Diceros bicornis minor: one gene and its partner. The protein of the gene in region 1 purifies or fractionates together with the protein of each later gene. This does not show direct contact. Links are inferred from orthologs where the notes say so. Each region holds a gene or a part of one and is shown on either strand. Other genes may lie near its edges.

Region 1 (9,993 bases):
GTCTTCCTCAGCAAAAAAAAAAAGAGGAGGATTGGCGGATGTTAGCTCAGGGCTGATCTCCTCACAAAAAAAAAAAAAAAAAAAAAAAAAAAAACAGGAAAATACGAGGGGCACATTCCTCATACAACTATTGTGAGGAATAAGGGAGATAATTTATGTAAAGCACTTACTGTAGATCTATAAATATGCTTTATAAATATTAACTGCATCCTTTCTTTCTTCCCTTATTCTAATCCACCATAAAACAGATATTCTAATACTAAAGGTGTAACAACATAAAAATAGTTCCTTTCCTCAGAGATCGTTTTTCCTTCCTGATTACCCTGACACCCCGAAGCAAAATCATAATAGATTCATAAGGGGTAAGGCAAGAATACACCTTTTACAGTTCTTTTGGATGGCAAAACCTATTCTGAAGCACTCAGCAGCCTTTTTACATCTCCAATCTGATGACGCTTAAACAAGGAATAAAAGAAACTCAAAGCGGAAATTAAAGCATATTTTAAACAATGAAAAATCCTAATATGTAAATCTTATAGATTATCCAAAAAAAAAAACTAAAATTCTCAAACTTGTGCGTAAAAGGTAGCACACAGCTAAGTTATCAGTATGCATGCCTTTAGGGGGCTCCATTTACAATGCAGTCTACATTTTGCTTTAGAGAGGGCCACCTTACATAGAACACACTAGGAATGGTGCCCCCAGGAGTTGTGTAACTCTGTGGTCATGAAGTATAATAACTAGAAAGAGACCCAGAGCTCATGTATTTCCTAGCTATTTTGAATATTTACAACTTTCAGGTTGTAAGAACATTATGCCTCTTCCTTTGCATATACTGTTTCCTTTGCCTATAATAACACTTTCCCATCTTTCAACTTATAAATTGCTACTAACTTCTTTCAGACTTCCATCTGGCCTAAGTTGGCTGCCCCATAGTATTCTATGCAAACCTCTCTCAGAGGCCTTACCACAACGCACTACCATGATCAGTTTATATATCTATATCTCACACTAAACTGTGAGCTCCTTGAGGGCAGGAGCTATGATTTTTCTATCATGGCATGCCAGTACATAACATAGCACCTGAATTATAGCAGCCATTTAATATTCCCATTGTGCTAAAAAAATAAAAACTTAGAAGTTGAGAAATCAAGAGACAACAGGTATACTTCACCTGAAATGTTAAATTCAAAAATAAAGTCAGGAACATTGTTGAGAGAGAATGTTTCCACATTCTTGCCTGAAAAACTGATGTTCTTCTCTGATTTTGCAACATGCACATACAGCAGTAACCAAATCAGCACTATTTAAGTGCTCAAAGTATATTACATTTTTTCCCCCTTAACCCCTTATCATCTATTGTTTATCATCTTTCTGTATTAACTGCAACCTTCTTTCCTCCCCAGGGAATCCCAGAGCAGAGCAAGGAGGGGACAGGCGTACCCTCCAATCTAAGTCCAGATGGTCAATTGTACTAGAGAAACTTCCAACACTGCGACTCTCTATCCTTTACTACCAAAGCAAAATTCTGGGTATTTACAACTGATAGTTGGGTAAACTATTTCTATCTATTAATTGTGTATCTGACTACATTACAGAATTAAACATAGTTTTAGAAGTGTTGGGCCTCCTCCAATAACAAGTTCAAGAGACTATTTTAAGTCTCTAAACTTAACCCATTCTAACAGAAACTGAAAAGATAACATTCCCATTTTACTGATAGGAAAAGCGTAATCTAAAAAAAATTAAATGACTCAAGACATAATTGTGTCACACAGACTTGGTTCCTTTGGGTCTACAAATTGGACAGCACCCCCAAAAGAACCATTTTGAAAGACCTGACACTTCTGCAGTCACTCTGCATTTTACCAGATTCTGTCATCTACAACCAGGCAACAGACCAGTTTCCACATTGACTAGCACAGTGATATGATGACCAGGGAGTTGATGTGAGGCACAGTCAAAAAGAAGGAAGGCTTTTACCTTGGGAACTCTGGCTCAGCCGGGCTGAGGAGCGGGTGACTCGGGCAGATCGCCGGGATGTGCCATCGCTCTCTGAACTATCTGTGTGCTCAAGATCTGTAGAAAAATCGGAATCTTCGGTTCCATCTGAACTACTGCCTGCATTCCTCTGTAACACCATAGATCCAGACATTAGCACAGAAGCATTTACTCTGTGGGTTTGTATTAACACTGGAAATAAAACCAACCATGATGCTGAAAACACCAAGTTCAAACCTAAGAAAGGACTCCACAGCCAACTTCCCTTTATTGAGAGCACTTAAATGGAGAAACCTACAAATAATGCCCCTTTATTGAATAAATGAAGAAAGAGAATTAATTCTTACTATATTATCACTAGAAGAAAGAGAATTAATTCTTACTATATTATCACTAACTCTGAAACAAGTCCATTTGAAGGTCAGTACCACAAACTGGAAATAAAATTATCTAACTCAAAATAGTCTGGCTGGCATAACCATGCACTTAGAGAAAGTCCAAGGTAGTGACACAAATGTTAATGCTAGACTCCATTTAACTTTAGGGTAGCTTTTGTTCAAAATCTCCATAAACAGCTATCACATTTTAAAAAACCATACACTAACTCAAAATATCACGGTCCACAATTCTGATCACAAAAGAACTTAAGCAGAAAAAGAGTAAAATTCTTTCTTATGTTATCTACCTTTAAGTTTCTCCATATGAATGCTTTAAAAAAAAAAAAAGGCAGCTTACACATGAAGACTCATAGGTATTCAAAAACAGAGGGTTCTTTTATTATCTTTTTAATTAATAATTATTTGTTAATTATTAGCCTCCTGAGACATATTTAGCCATAAAGATAACTTTTATCAATTGAGCATTAACACTATACTCTTTACTAAACCAGAATAGGAAGAGTATTTGCTAAAAAAACAATACAAAGCTTCAAACTACAAGTCCCCTATTCTTTATCCAAAAACACTTAGGGCCAGTTGTGTTTAGAATTCATAATTTTTTAGATTTTTCAAAGGGAACACTTTGCATATAGCCTTCAAATAACACCCCCTTACTTAACTTATTAACTCAAGCTTATTAACATTTCTGCAGCAAGATATAAAAGCAATCACACTAAATGAGACACACAAAAATTATAAGTAGCCTCAGGACAGTTTAGAACAGGTTTTGCCACCAAATAAATTACTAAAAAAACTTACATCTTCAAGAGCTCTTTGTATTTGGGAATTGCAGAAAGGGGACTATGGACCTATTCCAAGGCACCAATACTATTCCTGCATTTGGTAAGCCTTAATATAAATACCACCTACTGATGCAGTCATTTTAAGAAACATTAAAAAGTGTAAATATTTTTTTTGAAAACCTCTGGGAAGAGAAAGATTTCTGCAAAAATGAGCGAGAATACCACCCAGCTTTCCAAATGGCAAGAGTAATCTGCCCAGAAATGAGTGGAGGCCCCAGAAAAAGTCACAGATAGTTGATAGGATGAAGGAGACGTCTTAAAGGTGGTCTAGTCCAATTACCCAGACATTTGAATCCCTGATCATCTCTGACCATCCCTTCCAGGCCTGACTCTGGAACTCAGCTCTTCTCTCAGGCTTTCACCAATCTACTTCCCATCTTACTCCAGAGCAGACAATTGCTCCCTCACTTCCCTCCCATAACGCTTTGTATATATACTTCCAAATAGAAAATTTACTAGATCCTTCTACAGCCATTTATATGTCTGTTTTCTCCATCAGACTGTGATTTCCTTAAGCCAGGGATCAAATCGAATTAATTTTTGAATCCCCAGCAACCAGCACGTAGCAAGTAGTCAATAAACATTCGTCGAACTGAATTAGATTTGTTCTGTAGTCCTGGCTCTGCCATTGCCTAATTGAGCGGCTTGAGGTAATCCATTAGGCCTCTGTTCAGCTGCAAAGAGAAGGGATGGGGGTGTCCCTAGGTGATCTCGTAAGTCTCATCTAATTCTAGAAAGTTTCTGATTTTACGAACTGCATTTTCTAGGCGCTGTCCAACTAGGCAAATAAGGAAAAATTATGGCTTAAAGGCAACAGGCCAGAGTGGGATCCCCTGGGAGTGGGCGCTGGTTCTCTACCACCCACTCCTCCGCTTTGTTGTACCCCCCGCCCGGAAAGGAAGGATGCTCCGAAACCCCGCCTCTCCACCGATTAGCTTCACCAGCCGGAAGGGCCGGGATTCGCGCCACCAATCGGGGTCCCGCTAAACCGCGCCCCCACGGGACAGATTGCCAAGGGCAGCCAATTAAGAGAGGAGGGATCGTTCTCCACAGCCAATCCGAGCGCGGTAGGGCCGGGCCAGACACTGCCCCCGCACGCGGGGAGGTGACCGTTGGGCCCAAATGGGCGGTGTCATCAGCCAATCAATGTTCTTCCACACGTTGCAGCGACCAATTAACAAGAAGAACGCCTCCGAGCCAGGCAAGCAGAGGGCGGGAATAGTTGCAGGCATAGGCCGAGGCCAGGGTCGGGCCCACATTTTTCCGTTGGGTACCGACAGAAAAGAGGGTTGCTGAGCTAGGTTCCGGGGAGCGGGAAGTTGGAGCCCAGCCAGTGTGAGGCGTGGCTAACTGCGTCACGTTGCTCAATCGACCGTCCTTAGAAACCCGCCATCCCTCCCGTCCTGTTCCTCTCACCTTCCTTCGCGGCATTGCCGGCGGCTGCGGCCCGACGGTTCCGATTCGGGCAGCGGCGGCAGCAGCAGTAGGAACGGTGGCTCCGGCGGGCTCCGTGGCGGCCTCTGTAGCAGTCCCAATCCTGCGGACGATCCCAAGTGCCTCCTGCTTCACAGCGTCTAAACCCTTCCGCGCAGGCGCCGCGGGCTGAGGCGCTTTTTCCTTCACTTCCGGTTGGGGCTCGCGTCACCTGACGTTACTGGCTAGAGAGGGTGCTGGGAGGTTTAGTTCCTTCCATTGAGGCCAGTGAGCGCCATTTTGGAATGGGGCAAAAAGTGGCACCGATAGAAGAAACCCGGGCCAGCCATTTTTAGTTAGGGGAATGGCTCTCTTTGTGGGCGTGGGTAGCCGTTCTTGTTTGGGGCAGAAGCCTGATAGTTGAAGCTAACGGTTCTCATCTTTATCTTGGGCAAAAGTCCCCTTCCCGGTCGTTTTAATTCTGAAGTCGAGAAAGGAAACCCCCAGAATCCATCAGGTTGCTGAGATTTAACCCATTCGTTGCCTAATTGGCTAAAGGACGTCTCCGTTTAGCATATAAACTCAAACTTGGGAAGGGATACTTTGCTCAAGAAACTGTATTTTAAGAGCTGGCCTGTGTCTCAAAGTGGTGGGAATGGGGGCTCGTAAAAGGAACGAAGGGGTAGCGTCCATCATCAGGAAGTTTCTTGCCTGGTAGAGGAGACATTGTCCTTGCCATTAGCGAACAGCGAGTAAGTTAGTCTTTCACGTTGCAGGAGGAGGCAAGATCCTTCTCCAGAAGCGGTATGGGTTTGAGAGCCCTGGGTGGCCCGCGGGGGTGGGGGTGGGTGTTGTACCAGAGTTAGAGAAGCATTGAACTCCGTTTAGCCCAAGTGACCTCGGGAAATCCAGATGCTTGAACTAGGAGTTGGGGGAGGGAAGAAGAGGAAGGAGTATTTTTAGTGAAGCTGGAGCTAAAAAAAAAAAAAAAAAAAAAAAACAGGCATGGATAGGGCCTGCTTTGAGAGGACCTAGGAAGGAGAAGTTGGTCAAGGAAACAAGACTGGAAGAAGAGCCATAAGCAAAAGCTGGGAAGTGGAGAGCAGGCGTTGAGGATTTTGTCTCGCTGCAGGAAAAGCCTTGAGAGGACCAAAGCTTGGCCAAAAGTGACTGGGTGGAATCCAGGCAAGCTCAGTCATTAAGTTAGGATCCAGTCATTAAGTTAGGATCCTGGACCCCAGATTCACCTGAGGCCCGCTAAGATGGAGATTTCCCCCTGGAGCAGAACTAAAGAACAAAGCAGCAGAAGGTAAACATCTGATTGATATGCTAAACAGAGGACTCTGAAGAGTTAAAGTTCCAGACTCATCGCCAGCACTCTCCTTGGGGATATTCTGGGCCGGTGTTAACACAAGCAGCTTTTAGTATTTAGTATTTAGCTTTTAGTGTTTAGTATAAATAGCTTCGAATAACCTACTCAGGTAGAACTGCACATAAGAACTTATTTGACAAGGGCTCACATTTCTTCTTTTGTATTCGTTCAGCACTTAAGCATTTAATTTCACACTATTACTGTTATTTTGCACTTACTGGTGTATTCCTGAGGTCACTCTTGGATGTTCTGGCCCCCTGACTAGTGGGAAGGAGCTCTTGTGTTAAGAGCATACATGAGTTCTTTCATACCATCCTTAATAGTGCTCAGACCATGCCCTAACCACAGTAAATGCTTGCTTGTTAATCAGAATATGTTTACGGGTTCACAGTCTCTGAATGTATAGTACTCAAAGATGGTGAAGTATCCCTCCCTGGAAATTAGTATTTTAGAATAAGATCTTATCCTGACTTAACCATTCATCATACACATACCAGCATTACAAATGTTCAACATTGGTTAATCTCTTACATTGGATTTTCAAACACTGCAGCTAACACTAAAAGAGTTTACAGTTTCTTTTAGACGTGGTTCTTATCCTTGGAAAGTGTACACTCTGGCGGAAAGATGAAAAAACTAACACCAATAGGAAAGAAATATGATCATAAGGAAAATGTGTACTTAAGATGAAAGTAAAACAGCTAGGTATATTTAGAATGGGGAAGGAGGAATCCTAAAAGCTTTTTTCTTTCTTCTTTTTTTTGAGCAAGATTGGCCCTGAGCTAACATCTGTTGCCAGTCTTCCTCCTTTTTTTTTCTCCCCAAAGCCCCACTACGTAGTTGTAGGTCCTTCTAGTTTTTCTATGTGGGATGCTGCCTCAGCATGGTTTAGTTGAGCGGTGAGTAGGTCTGTGCCTGGGATCAGAACCCGCAAACCCCAGGCCGCTGAAGCACAACACATGAATTTAACTGCTATGCCACCGGGCCGGCCCCATTCCTTTCTCTTTTTTGAACCAAACATAACCTTTACTTTGGGTGTCATATTCATCGTAACACAATTAGCTCTGGAAGCAGAAATTGATGTTGGTGTCAAAGCCTTTGACCAGTTGCCCCCCTGCCCATCCTCACCCGCCAGACTTCACATAGGTAGCTCCGCTGTTCTTCCCGCCTTGACGCTTTCACACAGGCTTTTCTTCCTGCCTGGGTGCATCTCCCAACCTTCGTTAAAATTTACTTTCTTCAGAAAATCTTTCCTGATTTATTCTTTCTAAGGTAGTAGGGCATAATGATATGTTATTTTGTACTTCCTGCCGTATTTATACTTTTCCTTGTATAATTTGGTAGATGTTCTGCTCCCCTCTCTCCTTCCCAAATGAATAATAGGAACGTAACTCTTATTTATTTCACTCATCAGCTCTAATAGTGTCAAGTACAGGGCTTTGATGTCAGATCTCGATTTGAATTTCAGCTCTGCCACTTTTTATCTGCATTGCTCTTGGATGTGTTTTTCAATTTATCTGGGCCTCAGTTTTCTCATATGTGAAGTGGAGACACTAATAGCCCCCTCACAGTGTTGTTGTCAGGATTAAAGGCGATGATCATTGTAAAGCGCTTAGCACAGTTCCTGACAGAGTAAATGTTCAGTAAATGGCCGTTGTTATTGATATTTATAATTTCAATCCCCCTGGCCATGGCTATAACATCTTAATGTTTGTGAATATATCTTTACATAGTCTCAATGGTGGTTTGCTTTTGTGTGTTCAACCTCACTTCAGCTCAAGAGACACAGAGTGATTAGCCAGGCCTTATATACCAGGCATCGAGTGACACTAGTATGCACAAAACATCGTGTTTCCCCAGGCCAGTAAGCTTGTTGTTGTAAAACGCTGTAAAGTATTAATGGGAAAACAGAAGGAAGAGCAAGGTTCAGAAGTGATACAGAGGAGGAAGTGGAGTGTTTTGTCTGGAAGGTTTAGGGAAGGATTCATAGAAGAGGTGAAATAAGAGTGGAATTTCATAGGACAAATAAGTTTGCTGGTGGACAAGGAGGATAGGGGCTTTCCACGCAAAGGGAACAGCACATACAGATGTGGAGCGGCATCGTGTATGGGGGGTGACTAATGGCATGGTGGAGTTCGGGTGGTTGCCAAAAGAAGAGACAGGAATGGTTTAGGGAACCAGTTCATGCTGAGACTTGAATACCCTGCTAAGGAGCCTGGGCTGGAGGTGATGAGGAATCTCTGAGGGACTTTAAGCAGAGGAGTCCCATGATCGGACTTGCACTTTAGAGATTTCTTTCTGGAAGCTGTGAGGGGGACTGATCAGAGTGGCAGGGAGATGGGTTAGAACACTGCAGTAATAACCTCACCCAGAGCTGAGGAGGAACTGAACAGGGGAGGGGTAGTGGGAGCAATCTTTTGTGTGTGTCCTTGTGCATTTTCTTTCTTGTATTTGTATCTTGTCTTCTCAGTTACATTTGTAAGCTCACTAAAAGATGCCTCCATTTCCTTTAAAATGCTCCCCTTGCCAGCAAAATGATAGATATTCAAATACAAAGTGTAGTTTTTTGTTGTTTGCTTCAAAGACCTGAGAGCTCCTAGAGGTTGGGAGCCTTGCCTGGCTGACCACACCATCTCCAGCTTCTCCCTTGCTGCCTAGCATCTAAAAGGGCTCAGTAGCGGGGCAGCCTGGTGGCTCAGCAGTTAGTTCGCGTGTTCCACTTTGGCGGCCCGGAGTTCACCAGTTTGGATCCTGGGCGCGGACCTACTCACCGCTCATCAAGCCTTGCTGAGGCGGCATCCCACATAGAAGAACTAGCAGGACCTACAACTAGGATATACAACTATGTACTGGGGCGTTGGGGGATTTAAAAAGAGAGAGAGAGGGGAAGATTTGCAACAGATGTTAGCTCAGGGCTAAGCTTCCTCAAAAAAAAGGGGGGGGGGCTCAGTAAATGGGATGGCCACCGCCAGGTGTTGGCTCAGTTAGGAAAGACGTGCACAGAACCTGCCATCCTCTCTCCTCTAAGCCTCTTTTTGACCAGTGATGTCCCTAGGAGGGATTAGGGACAGCAGTTTCCTCTGTGTCCAGATACCTGTCCTGTAAGGTGGGGAAGTGTGCCTTGACCTTTTTAAAACAATGCTAGTGTAGCCAGGCCAATCTCATAACTTCCGGGTAAAAGCTTAGGCCTAGTCTCTATCCCTGTGGGAGAATCTCAGAGGTTGCTGATAAGACCATAATTCGTATTAAAATCTTTTCATTTACATCCGCCTTAAATATAGAGTCAGCACAGTCACTAATGGTCCCTCCTTTCTTACTCTTGCCTGAGATAGCCTGGATCTTCTCTTACCTTCTTAGCCACTTTTTTTTTTTTAAATCTTATTTATTTATATACTTTCCCCCCAAAGCCCCAGTAGATAGTTGTATGTCATAGCTGCACATCCTTCTAGTTGCTGTATCTGGGACGCAGCCTCAGCATGACTGGAGAGGCGGTGCGTCGGTGCACGCCTGGGATCCGAACCCGGGCCGCCAGCAGCGGAGCGCGCACACTTAACCACTAAGCCGCGGGGCCGGCCCTTAGCCACTTGTTAATTTGGTTCTTGTATCACCCTTATCCACCACCCACCCCCAGCAGGAAGGGTATTGGGGGAAGGTATTGGACAGATCCCAGCAGGCTCAGGCACAGCTCCCTGCCTCTGCAGCTGGGGTTATAAATAACCACAAAAACTAAACAAATAACCACATTTTGAAAATTGCTAAAAAAAATTACTCTGATCTTGATTTAATAGCAGTTCTTCTCCCACTCCTGCCCTTCATCTCCTCCCTTCCTCCCCTTATCTACCTCCCCTCGCTGATCCAAGCTCCCTAGGGAAGTCAATCTGAGCACAAAGCCATCGTATGATGAAGACATCCTTTTCCATATTTGACAGGGCCTAAGCCCTCCAGGGCTGTAGTTATAGTTACACGA
Region 2 (10,511 bases), on another chromosome or scaffold:
GGGACAGGCCTAATAATGAAGAATCATCCTGTCCAAAATGCCACCTGTGCCCCTGTTGAAAAATACTCCCTTAGACATCCCATCACCTGGATTTCTAAGTAACTTAATTATTTGTCTCACCTTGAACCAAAGGAAATACACTGCTCTGAGGACACAATCAAAACCACAAACCAGGCCAGGCAAGCCCAGGGTCCAAAGGAGAAGTCTAAATTTGAGGGCACAGAAAAGAACAGACATTCACCAACCATGCTTGGGGAAGGAGGCCTGGCTCAGGGCCAACGCCAGCCCAAGAAGGAACCACGAGTCCCTGGGGAGCGCTCCTGGGCAGGCTCACCTGTAAGAAGGTATCTGTGGGACAGCGACCATGGGGACATTTGAGGGCGTCTCTCGGCCCACTTCCTCTGGCTCCTTCTTGATCTTCTGCTTCAAAGTTATCTTGTTCTTCTTGGGCACTCCCTTGAGTTGGCCACCTACCCCACCTTGGCCTTCATCTTCCTCCTCCTCTTCCACCTCTTCCTTCTCTTCCTCCTCCTCACAGCCCTCCTTCAGCCCTTCCTCATCCCCAGCCTCACCGAGGCTTCCAGGGGAGTCGCCCTTCCTTCTAGCAGTGGCAGCACTTGGCGGTGAGTGGACCTCACAGTAGGCGGTCTTGCGCACTGTGAAGATGGTGCCATTGAGGCTGGTTTCACGCATGGGCTCAATCTTCATGAAGAGCCCAGCCCGCTGTGCACACGTCACATGGAAAGCTGTGTAGCAGTTCACCTTATGGCACTGGATGGCAGCACCCAGCCCCTTCTGCTTGCAGATACAGCAGGTTAGTTTCCAGCGGGCAGGTGGGATATTATCAATGCCCTCGATGGGCTCCAGGAACACGGTGTTAGCAAAGCAGACTTCAGGGATCCAGATGGCACATACTACATGGGCCCAGTGCCCATCGCTGGTCTGTTTGAAGGCGCCACCCTTATTGGGGCAGAGGACACAATCCACAGGCCGGGAGGGAGACTGCAGGCAACAGCGGCATAACCACTGACCCTCGGGGATGTAGGGGACGCCATAGCACTCCTGGTGTACAGCCAGGTTGCAGATGTCACAGAAGAGAATGACATTGCTGTTGTGGCATTCATCATCCAGGCACACACAGCAAAAGGCATCTTCGTCAATGAGAGACTGTTGGGCCCCGCTGCTGCGACTCTCCAAGTACGACTCCTTCTCAAGCCGGTCCACCAGCAGCTCGAAGGTGTCTGCAGACACTGAACTGTGCCCATCTACTCGCCGCCTCTCATTCACCATGTCCAGCCAGGCAAGGTCTTCCTCATCCATGTCATACTCTACCTCTGCATCCAGGTCTTCAGGTGGCTTCTCAATGTAGCGGTAGTAGGCAGCAGGTAGCGGGGGTGCTTCTGGCTGGCTGCCTGAGTCCACCATGCGGAAGCTGGGCTGCGGGAGGTGGAAGGAAGTGCCGGACGCATGCTTGGAACAGGACTCCTTCTTCTTGCCTTTGGATGAGGGTTTTTTGGACTTGCCAGGAAACTGAGGCTGCTCACTGTTTTCCTTGTTACTATTGCATTCGGTGATATCCTGGGCAGTCAGCTCATCTTCTGTGATGATCTTGAGCGGGTCATAGATGCTGATCCGATGCAGGCGTCCATCGATGTCCACCTCGACAATCCGCTGGGCCTGGGCATATGTTAGGGTCTCCCGGGTGGGTGAGCACTTCAGACTATAAGGTGACGGGGAGCGCCGGCCCTCGGCAGTCTGCCGCGACGACTTCCGGCGCGGCTTCCTCATGGCACCTGGGAACCTAGGGGACAGGCCTGAGGAAACAAAGCCAGGAGACCATGAGCTGGATGTTCAGGCATGCACGTATTCATTCACCCTTCCATCTGATCGAGTGGCCACCGAGGGGACTGTCTATGCCCTCTGTCTAAACATCCAGCCCCTCAGACATCCACAAGGCTTGCTCCTTCACCTCCTTCAAGTCTTTCCACAAACACTGCTTCTCAGTGAGACCTTCTCTGACAATTCTATCTAAAATTGCAAATCCCTTCCCCCACCAGCAATCTTTCATTCTGCTTTATTTTTCACTATAATACTCACCATTTTTTACTGTGCTATGTAATTTACCTATTTATCATGTATGTTTGTTTCCTTCCACTAGAATGTAAGCTCCATGATGGGAGGAATTTTGCCTGTCTTGTGTACTGCTGTATGCCCAGCACCTGGAATGGTGCCTAGCTCCTAAAGCTGAATGAAAGAAATCAAACACGCATGATCCCTGCCCTCTAGGAGCTCTGTCTGATTGAAGGGACAGAAAAGTAAACAGATCATTACAATGTGACACTGGGAGAGATCTAATGTTCTAATGATGTACGTAAGGCTGTGGGACAGCTAACGATGGAAAAGAAGGGGGTGGTTAAGGCTTCAGAAAAGAAGAAAACAAGAACAGCACCCACTTTCAAGCTCTGTACATGAACAGTGGCCCCATCAGAGGATCAAAAATTCACAGGTCTAGAGCCCTCTCCCAACCCATCTTATCATGATTAGAAATCCTATTCCCTGACCATGCCCCCAGGGTAAAGGAGTGAAGGCAACTGAAATGTCTATCACATGTGGTCTATGGACTTCAAACTACAGCATGCAGGGTTTTCTCTGCAAAAGGCAGCATTCAGGATGCACTGGCTAATATACCTCTATGCAGAAGCCCCGGAAGCTCTGGGAGCGACCCCAAGTGGCACTGAAGTTGTAAGCTGCCTATCTGGGACCCTCATTGGACCTAAGGCCAAGGTGACTGGGGCAATACCTGAGGTAAAATCTCAATGCATTGTTACCTCAAAAGTCCCTCTCTCCCAAAATACTTACATCAGTCTACCCTTGTGCAGCAGAAAAAGCCCTAAAGTTTCCCACATCATTCTCTGGATGGAGGGAACTTGGACAAGCTCATAAGGAGCTATGGTAGGCAGTTACTAAGGCCATCACTACCAGGAAAGGTCTTTAGGGATATGGTGCCCTGAGGTGCGGGCAGAGACTAGGAAGGGTATGAACAGGGAGAGGATTTCAAGGAGAAAAACATTTTGTCACCTTGGTTGTGGGATCTACCATCCTTATGAAGCAAAGATAGTGATGATAATTGAGCACACTTTTACAAACTACAAAGCCCTTTTACTTGTAATATTTCTCACAACTAGCTTGGGAGGCAGAATGATATTATCTCCATTTTACAGATGAAGAAACAGAAGCTCAGAAAGCTGGCACTCAACCCAAAGCTAGTAAGTGATGAAACTACAATTCAACCCAGATCTTCTGATTTGCTCAACTCACATCAGTGAGGTAAGAACGCCACAGAGATACCATGGTCTGGTACAACAAGAGGCTCTGGGGCAATCTAGGTTCTAATCTTGGTCCTGTGTGACCTGGAGAAAGTCACTTAATCTCTCTTGTGCCTCCATACTCCATCAATAAAATGAAATGAATAAAAGCTACCTCTTAAGGGTTGCTATTTGTTAATAAGGTATTATTAACATCCTTATTTAAAAGGCCTTCCAATCCCAAAGTGTGACTGAAACATACAACCAAACAAAAGACTTGGCTGAGGAACAGTGCCAGGCAGGCACACACCCCATTTGGAGCCAAAGGAAACAGAATCATCACAGCAATTCTGTCCAGGATCCAGAGGCCCTTGGCCACTACATGCCTTACAAATGCCAACTCCCTCGGGGCAGCCCAAGCCAACAGACCTGCTTTACTGCCCCCACCCTCTCAAGGGCATGGAGACCCTTGCAGAGCTGTGAAAAGCGACCTCAAAACACACTAACTTGAAATAGTTGAGAGAGAGGGTGTGGCCCCTCTTTTGTTAAAGCCACCATATATTCTTCCTCCCTACCTGTTGCCTTCTCACAGCTCGGGTATCTCTCAACCAAGCAGCAAGTATCTACTGAGACCTCTCCAAGACTCTGGACACTGGGCACAAACTCTAGAGGGGAAAGCGCTGCTGCTGAGGAAAATAACGTGAGTTTCGCCCACAAGGAGCTTCCAGTCTAGATTTTTGGCGGGAGTTTCTCATCCCACACAGCCCTTCCCACACACACACACCTCCAAATATCTCCAAGACCCCCAGAGTTCTCCTAGGCACCCCCTGAGCCCCCACTCCCCCACCCCACCCACGTCCCCGAAGAATGAGGAGTTTCTGCAATTAGACTGTAGCCCCCTGCACCCCACAGGAGATACTCTTGAGCCAAGGGAGGACCTCAGCCCAGGTTCCTGCCCCTTTAAAGGGGCACCTCTTCCAGAAGAATCTTCACCCTTCGGAGGAGAAAGGAGGGAAATAACATCACCTCCCCACAGGGGAGGGGGCGAGCGCGCCAGAGACAGACTGACGCTGCGTCCGACCCTCACACAGAGAAAGCTAGCGCCAGCGACCGAGCGGGGCAGAGAGGCGAGCGCCCATTGGCCCCCTCACCTGCCCGTCAGGAGGAACCGGGGGACCAAAAACCGTTCAGAGGGTGTAACTCTCCTCGGGCCTGACCAATTAGAGAGCGTGGCGGGGGCGGGGCTCGACAGCTCCGCTTCCAGGGCCGGGGGCAGGAAAACAAGATGGCGGCTGCGGGAGGGGGTCCTCGCTTTTCAGCTCCCCCCCTCACCCGCCTTCTCCTTCCCCGCCGCCGCCCTCGCGCCAGGAGAGAGCTTTCGCACCACCCCCACCCCGCTCGGGAAGACCCCGCTTCCCTCCCCCGAACGCAGTCCCTGGTCCCCGTAGGCCCCGCTGCCCCCGCCCCCGCTCTGGCCGGCCCCGCAGCCGCCCCCATTACCTCAGCCGCCGGCCCGGCCCCACCGTTCGGGGCCCCTGGGCGCGGGCGGGCCGGCCGTCGAGCAGGTCCGCGCGGCCCGGGGAGCGGAGAGCGGCCTCCTCCCGCGCTGGGCTCCGCGGCCACCGCCGTGCCCCCTCCCGGCCCGCGTTGGGGCCCCGGCCCGGCCGCCGCCGCCGCTCCCGGGGGAGGAGGGGGAATGGAGCCGCCGCCGCCGCCGCTGCCGCCACGGAGCCCGGCCGAGGGGAGGGAGGGATCAGCCCCCAGGCAGGATCCGCCCCTCCGGCCTCCCCCCGCCACCTCCACCCCTTCCCTCGCTCCCTCCCTGGCTCCGCGGGCTCTCCCGCCGAACAGGAGCGAGAGCGCGAAAGAGGGGGAAACGGGAAAAAAATCCCCCCGCCTGTGCCCGGCGCGCCGGCGGCCGGGGCGGCGCGGAGAGGAGCGCGGAGCCGCCGCCGCCACGGGGCACCGTCCCCTGCTCGGCCTCACGGTGGCGGTGCGGACGCGGCAGGGGCGCCGAGCGGAGACGGGGTCTGCCCGCCGCGGCCCCGGCTCACCCCGGCCCAGCCCGCCGCGGGGGCGAGCCCAGCAAGAGAGCTGGGGACGTTCGGGTCTAGTTGGGAAAGATGGGGGTACCTAACTCTTTAGGGTGGTCGGTCGTCCACTCCCCTTATCCCTGCGGAGGAGGTGGCTAAGGTCTGGGGCAGCAAACCCCCTCCCCGAGCTAGAGGACCCCTCCAAAGGTTAAGCCAAGACAGTCGTTGAAATCAAAACCGGTCTGTAGTTTCTTGGGGTGCAGGTGCCTGCACTACCCCCAGAAAGCCGCCCACCCTTCACCCGGTGCTCAGGTCCGGAGGACAAAGGTCTAGCAATGTCCATCCCCTCCCCCAGTGAGGACAGCCCGGAAAGACCTGCCTCTGTTTTGTACAGGTGAGCGTCTGGTTCCCTACAAGACATCCTTCTTAAGAAACAGACCTGACTTTTCGTTGTGTGCCATCCTCTCCCTTCGTTTAAAGAGAGTAAACATAAAAGTTTGACAGTCTATTTAAGGACGTCTGGTAACTCGTTTGTCACTGTAGACGTGGGAAACACTCCTTAAACCTGATTTGGCTAGGAGTCGGCTAATTTAATACAATAAGCGGCTTTCTAAAAGATGCTTGACAAATGGCAACTTCAGAGTTGGAGATGTAATCAGACCACTTTTGTTTTGATAAATTTAAGAAGAGAAGAGGTCTCCCTTGCCACCCCCCTTTTGCCTATAAATTGGGAAACTTACCTCATATGACTGAAGTCTTAAGCACCAATATTTAGTGATGTTTATAAAGGATGTAGGGATAGACTGCCTTTAAATGTGAAGATGAATGACATATTTTGAAAGCGTTTCCTCTGCCCGCGCTGGGGGTGGAGCTTGGTGAGACTCACAATTTCTTGCTCGGTTCTGATGATCAAGGACACGGATTCTAGAGTCAGAGGATGAAAGATAAAGTCTTAGAGTCCAAGTCTTCCAAATGTTTAAATTGAAAGTACTGCTACTTTTGAAGTATAGGTGTTCAATATCTTAAGGAATTTAAATATATTGTGTTTCGAATTTGAAAGGTTGATAAAAGTCAGGAAGCTAATTTGTATTACAAAGATTTTTTTTCTGATTACATGGTAGCACCTTCTGCCAAAGTGATAGTAAAATTACTTCTGGTAACCGACTTTTAAAAGAAAAAGGAGTGGCTTGTGGAGCTAAGCAAGGGCAGGCAATGTTTTGAAAGCTGTGAAGATGAAATAGTGTGAATTAATGTCAAGTGTTGTAAGGCTAGGGGGAATAATCATTTGGAGGGAAAGTGTGGAAGAAAAAGTGATTAATTGTGGAAGAGAAAGCCCTAGAGGCAAGAGAATATTACGATTACTTTAGTTAAGGAAAAAAAAAAAAAACAAAAACCACTGAAGATTAAAAGAAACAAGAATACTGAATTTCATTTCTTGTTCTTTTAAAACGTGAAATCTAACCATTTATACATATGACAAGTAACTTTTATTTCTTGATGGATGTTCTCAAAATTTATTAAGCACAATTCCCATTTGTGTGATTGGGAGATATCTTTTTCCACTAAAATTATGAATAAATACCTTGAGAAAATGCATTGGTTTCCACTTGTAACAGTGAATAAAATAATGATTTAAATGCTGTTGAAAATGCATTAAGTTAACCTAATACATATGATTTCCAGGTTTTTCTATTCAAAGCTTTCATAGTAAGACCTTATTCAACTTAAGTGTTTCTCTTCTATTTTCAATTTCCTCTCTCTTAATGGTAACATTATAGTTGTCCTCACTTTTGTTTTTGACGTTTGGAATTGGTTTCTCTTAGTGTAACTGCACATATAACCAGTTCACTATGATGTAATCTTAAATGTAACATGGGACAATTATGTCATTAAAAACGAATTTGGAACATGTATGAAAAATCCCAGAGGGACTAACTTTAATTCACTTTAATTTTTAGCTACTTTAAAGAATTTAGATTCACCAGCCCTTGGCCTTTCCATTAAACCCTACAGCAACTAAATTCAACAAACAGAGGCACAGACCTTTGATTCCAAATAGTAGTTTTTTTAAATCCTGCATTTCTAAGTAGAAACTAGCTTATTTGGAGTAGGAGAATGTTTACCATTTAGAACTAAAAGAGGAAACATGAATACAAAAAGTTTCCCCCCAATTTTTTTTTTTACATCTCAGGATATCTTTGTTAATGCTTTACTACTATCATTAGTTTACTAAGGCAAGAAAACTCAAGGGTCAGATGCAATACCCACTGAATTAATAAAATATGTATGATAAGAAGAAAATAGGCTTTGATTGATTGTTAGATTATTTTTAATAGAATATTCCTTCCTTAGACCTTAGCTAAAAGAATTCTGAAACCATAAATGGGAAGAATGTTGGAGGTTGGAATCACTGTGATATTTTTATGCTGTAATGAAAATGGTTTAAGAATATAAAGTTTGCTTAGAAAAAGGGAAAAGTTTAGGCTAACAGCAGGCTTTAAATTGAATTCCACACCCTCTAAATTTAATTCCATTCATTTATTCCTGTAACAGACACTTATTGAACACCAATCAATAGGTTTTGTGTCCAAAACTGTACAAGTTGCTTTGGAAAATAATGACTAAACCTTGACCTAGAAAGGACCCAGTGATCGTATGTAAACATAAAATATATTTTTCCTTGCCTTGAGTAGTGTACAATCAAGAAGCAAGCTAGAAATAACCAGAAAATATGTGCAGGAGAAATTAGATAAGGCAGCTAACAGTGTGGAGCCAACCATTATTCAAATGGAGGATGGGAGGCTTCTTTTAGCCAGATTCTAAATAGTGATGGATGTGGATTGATGAAAAGACTGGAATGACATTATTAGGTTGTTCACAGGGCAGCCCAGCCAGGGAATAATAAGGAAATTATCCTAGCTGGTGTGTATGGGCAGATGTTAAGAAAGAAAAAGTTGAATTGGATATGAGGTATGGCACGGGTATAAGGACAATAAAATAGTACCTTAGTGCAAGGTACTCTGCTTAGTGCTTTACATACTGTATTTATCAGAAATCTTCATTGCATTGGAAAATGAACTCAAATTAGTTTAATTAATAAAGGAAATCTATTGACTCTAAAACCCAGAAAGTCCAGGGGTGCATCTGGCTTTAGACAAGGTAAAGTCAAGAGACTCAAATTATGTCATCAGGACACTGTCTCTTGTGATCTCCAGCCAACCTGAGCTGATAGCTGTGCCAGAAAGACATGATACTCTGATTAGGTCTGGTCATTGTCTACTACTAGAACCAGAGGACGTGGGCAAGAGGTGATTCTCCAAAGATATAGTGGGCACATGTACAAAATAGGTCCAATATGTATGCCACATCTCATTTATCCATTTATTAACTCTGTGAAATTACTGTTATTATGGTCCCCATTATGTATAGGATAAACTAGAGCAGGAACAGTATTAGGTAAACCAGGAAGAATTCGCTATAGGTAATTAGGCATTATGAAAATAAAAGGGCATTAACCAGAATGATGGAAGAGATGGTAGAGAAAGAGGAGGGAAAGAAGGGGTAAAATCAGAAGACATATCAACAGTTTGATGACTGATTGGACATAGGGACAAAGGAGAAGATCAAACATGAATGTAAGTTCAAATTTAGGAGGTTTTTAGAATGCTAGTACAATTATTGCAAATTAAGAGACGGCAAAGGGTTACTCAGGAGCTTCTGTGCATCTGAACACCCGAGGATTGAGGAAATGGAGCCTCTTTTGTTTACACTAAAATACATATTCATTCAATAATTATTTCTGAGCTGCAGGTAAGGTTCTATTTTACACCTGTGAAGTCTACATAGGTGAAAAGGCTATGCTCTCAGACTTGAAGGCACTTAAAATCTAATCACAGGAATAAAGCAAGTATTTAATAACTGAAACATACAACAGCAGATAAGCACCTCAACAGAGATGCAAGCAAAATGGCGTGAGAGTTTAGAGAAGAGAGAAGGCTCCGTGAAGAAGGTGCCATTTGAGCTCCACCTTAAAGCTTGGGTTGAGCGTCAACTAGGAGGATGGTAGAGGGAGTGTGGTCCAGGCTGAGCACTAGCATGAGCAGAGAAAGGTGGAACACCGTAAGATTGATTCGGGGAACAGTGGGTTACCACATTTGACCCAAAAATGGGAGATGCAAGAGAAAAGGCTGGAAAGGTAAAAGTCAGAGCATGGAGGCTGTTAGGTGGGGGACTGGATGTGAAAGGGCAGTAGTCCCCTGTGATTTTTGGAACAGGGAAATGACTTGAATAGTTCCATGCTTTAAGATATAGTCAGGCAAGAGAGTATGGTCCAATATGGTTTAAATCATCCATCTAGTATGTCTTGCGTTATCCTCTTTGGACTGAATTCTAGCTAGAACATTTTACTGTATACTCAGTGGAATGCTACAGCACAAGCCTGAAAGTAAATAGTTTGTGGCAAGTGTAAATTGTTCAACCTGATTTAATGTCTTTTCATTTCAACCTTTAATTAACGTTTCTATTAAATCTTAAACGCAATCATGAGGGACGTCAGGACACCATAAAATATAAATTATTTCCATATTTTAGCAAAAGAGCCGACCCTGCAAATAGCCATCTACTTGGTGTAATTTTACTAAAGAGAGAGAAAATACACAAAAATAATAGCATCTATTTAACCAGAACCTGCATTTTAACAAGATCCCCGTAAGTGATTCATATGTGTGATGGTTAATTTTTTTGTGTCAACTTGGCTGGGCTAAGAGTTGCCCAGATAGGTGGTAAAACATTATTTCTGAGTGTATCTGTGAGGGTGTTTCTGGAAGAGATTAGCGTTTGAATCCATAGGCTGAGTAAAGATCACCTTAACCAGTGTGGGTGGGCATCATCAAATCCCTTGAGGGCCTGAACAGGGCAAAAAGGTAAGGAAAGGTCGAATTTGCTCTCTGCTTGAGTTCATCCATCATCTTCTCCTGCCCGTGGACATTGGTGCTCCTGGTTCCCAGGCCTTTGGACTTGGACTGAATTATATCACTGGCTTTCCTGGTTCTCCAGCTTGCAGGTGACAGATTGTGGGACTTCTTGGCCTCCGTAATTGCTTGAATCAATTCCTATAATATCCTCATTATATCTATCTATCTATCTATCTACCTACCTACCTACCTATCTATCT

Evidence for each region.
Region 2: the proteins of KAT7 (region 1) and BRPF3 purify together in Homo sapiens (affinity purification with mass spectrometry; 3 studies listed by BioGRID and IntAct, counting the BioPlex papers as one, with this or other methods). This does not show direct contact. The link is inferred for Diceros bicornis minor from reciprocal best matches to the Homo sapiens genes KAT7 and BRPF3.

What each region holds. Positions count from the first base shown.
Region 1 is NC_080757.1:36,433,700-36,443,692, forward strand, and holds the start of KAT7 (histone acetyltransferase KAT7), read right to left. Parts: upstream 4,843-9,993; 5' UTR 4,673-4,842; coding exon 4,658-4,672; intron 2,132-4,657; coding exon 1,984-2,131; intron 1-1,983. UniProt on the Homo sapiens protein: Catalytic subunit of histone acetyltransferase HBO1 complexes, which specifically mediate acetylation of histone H3 at 'Lys-14' (H3K14ac), thereby regulating various processes, such as gene transcription, protein ubiquitination, immune regulation, stem cell pluripotent and self-renewal maintenance and embryonic development.
Region 2 is NC_080753.1:28,656,271-28,666,781, forward strand, and holds the start of BRPF3 (bromodomain and PHD finger-containing protein 3), read right to left. Parts: upstream 4,976-10,511; 5' UTR 4,806-4,975; intron 4,055-4,805; exon of another isoform or gene 3,881-4,054; intron 1,815-3,880; 5' UTR 1,789-1,814; coding exon 335-1,788; intron 1-334. UniProt on the Homo sapiens protein: Scaffold subunit of various histone acetyltransferase (HAT) complexes, such as the MOZ/MORF and HBO1 complexes, which have a histone H3 acetyltransferase activity.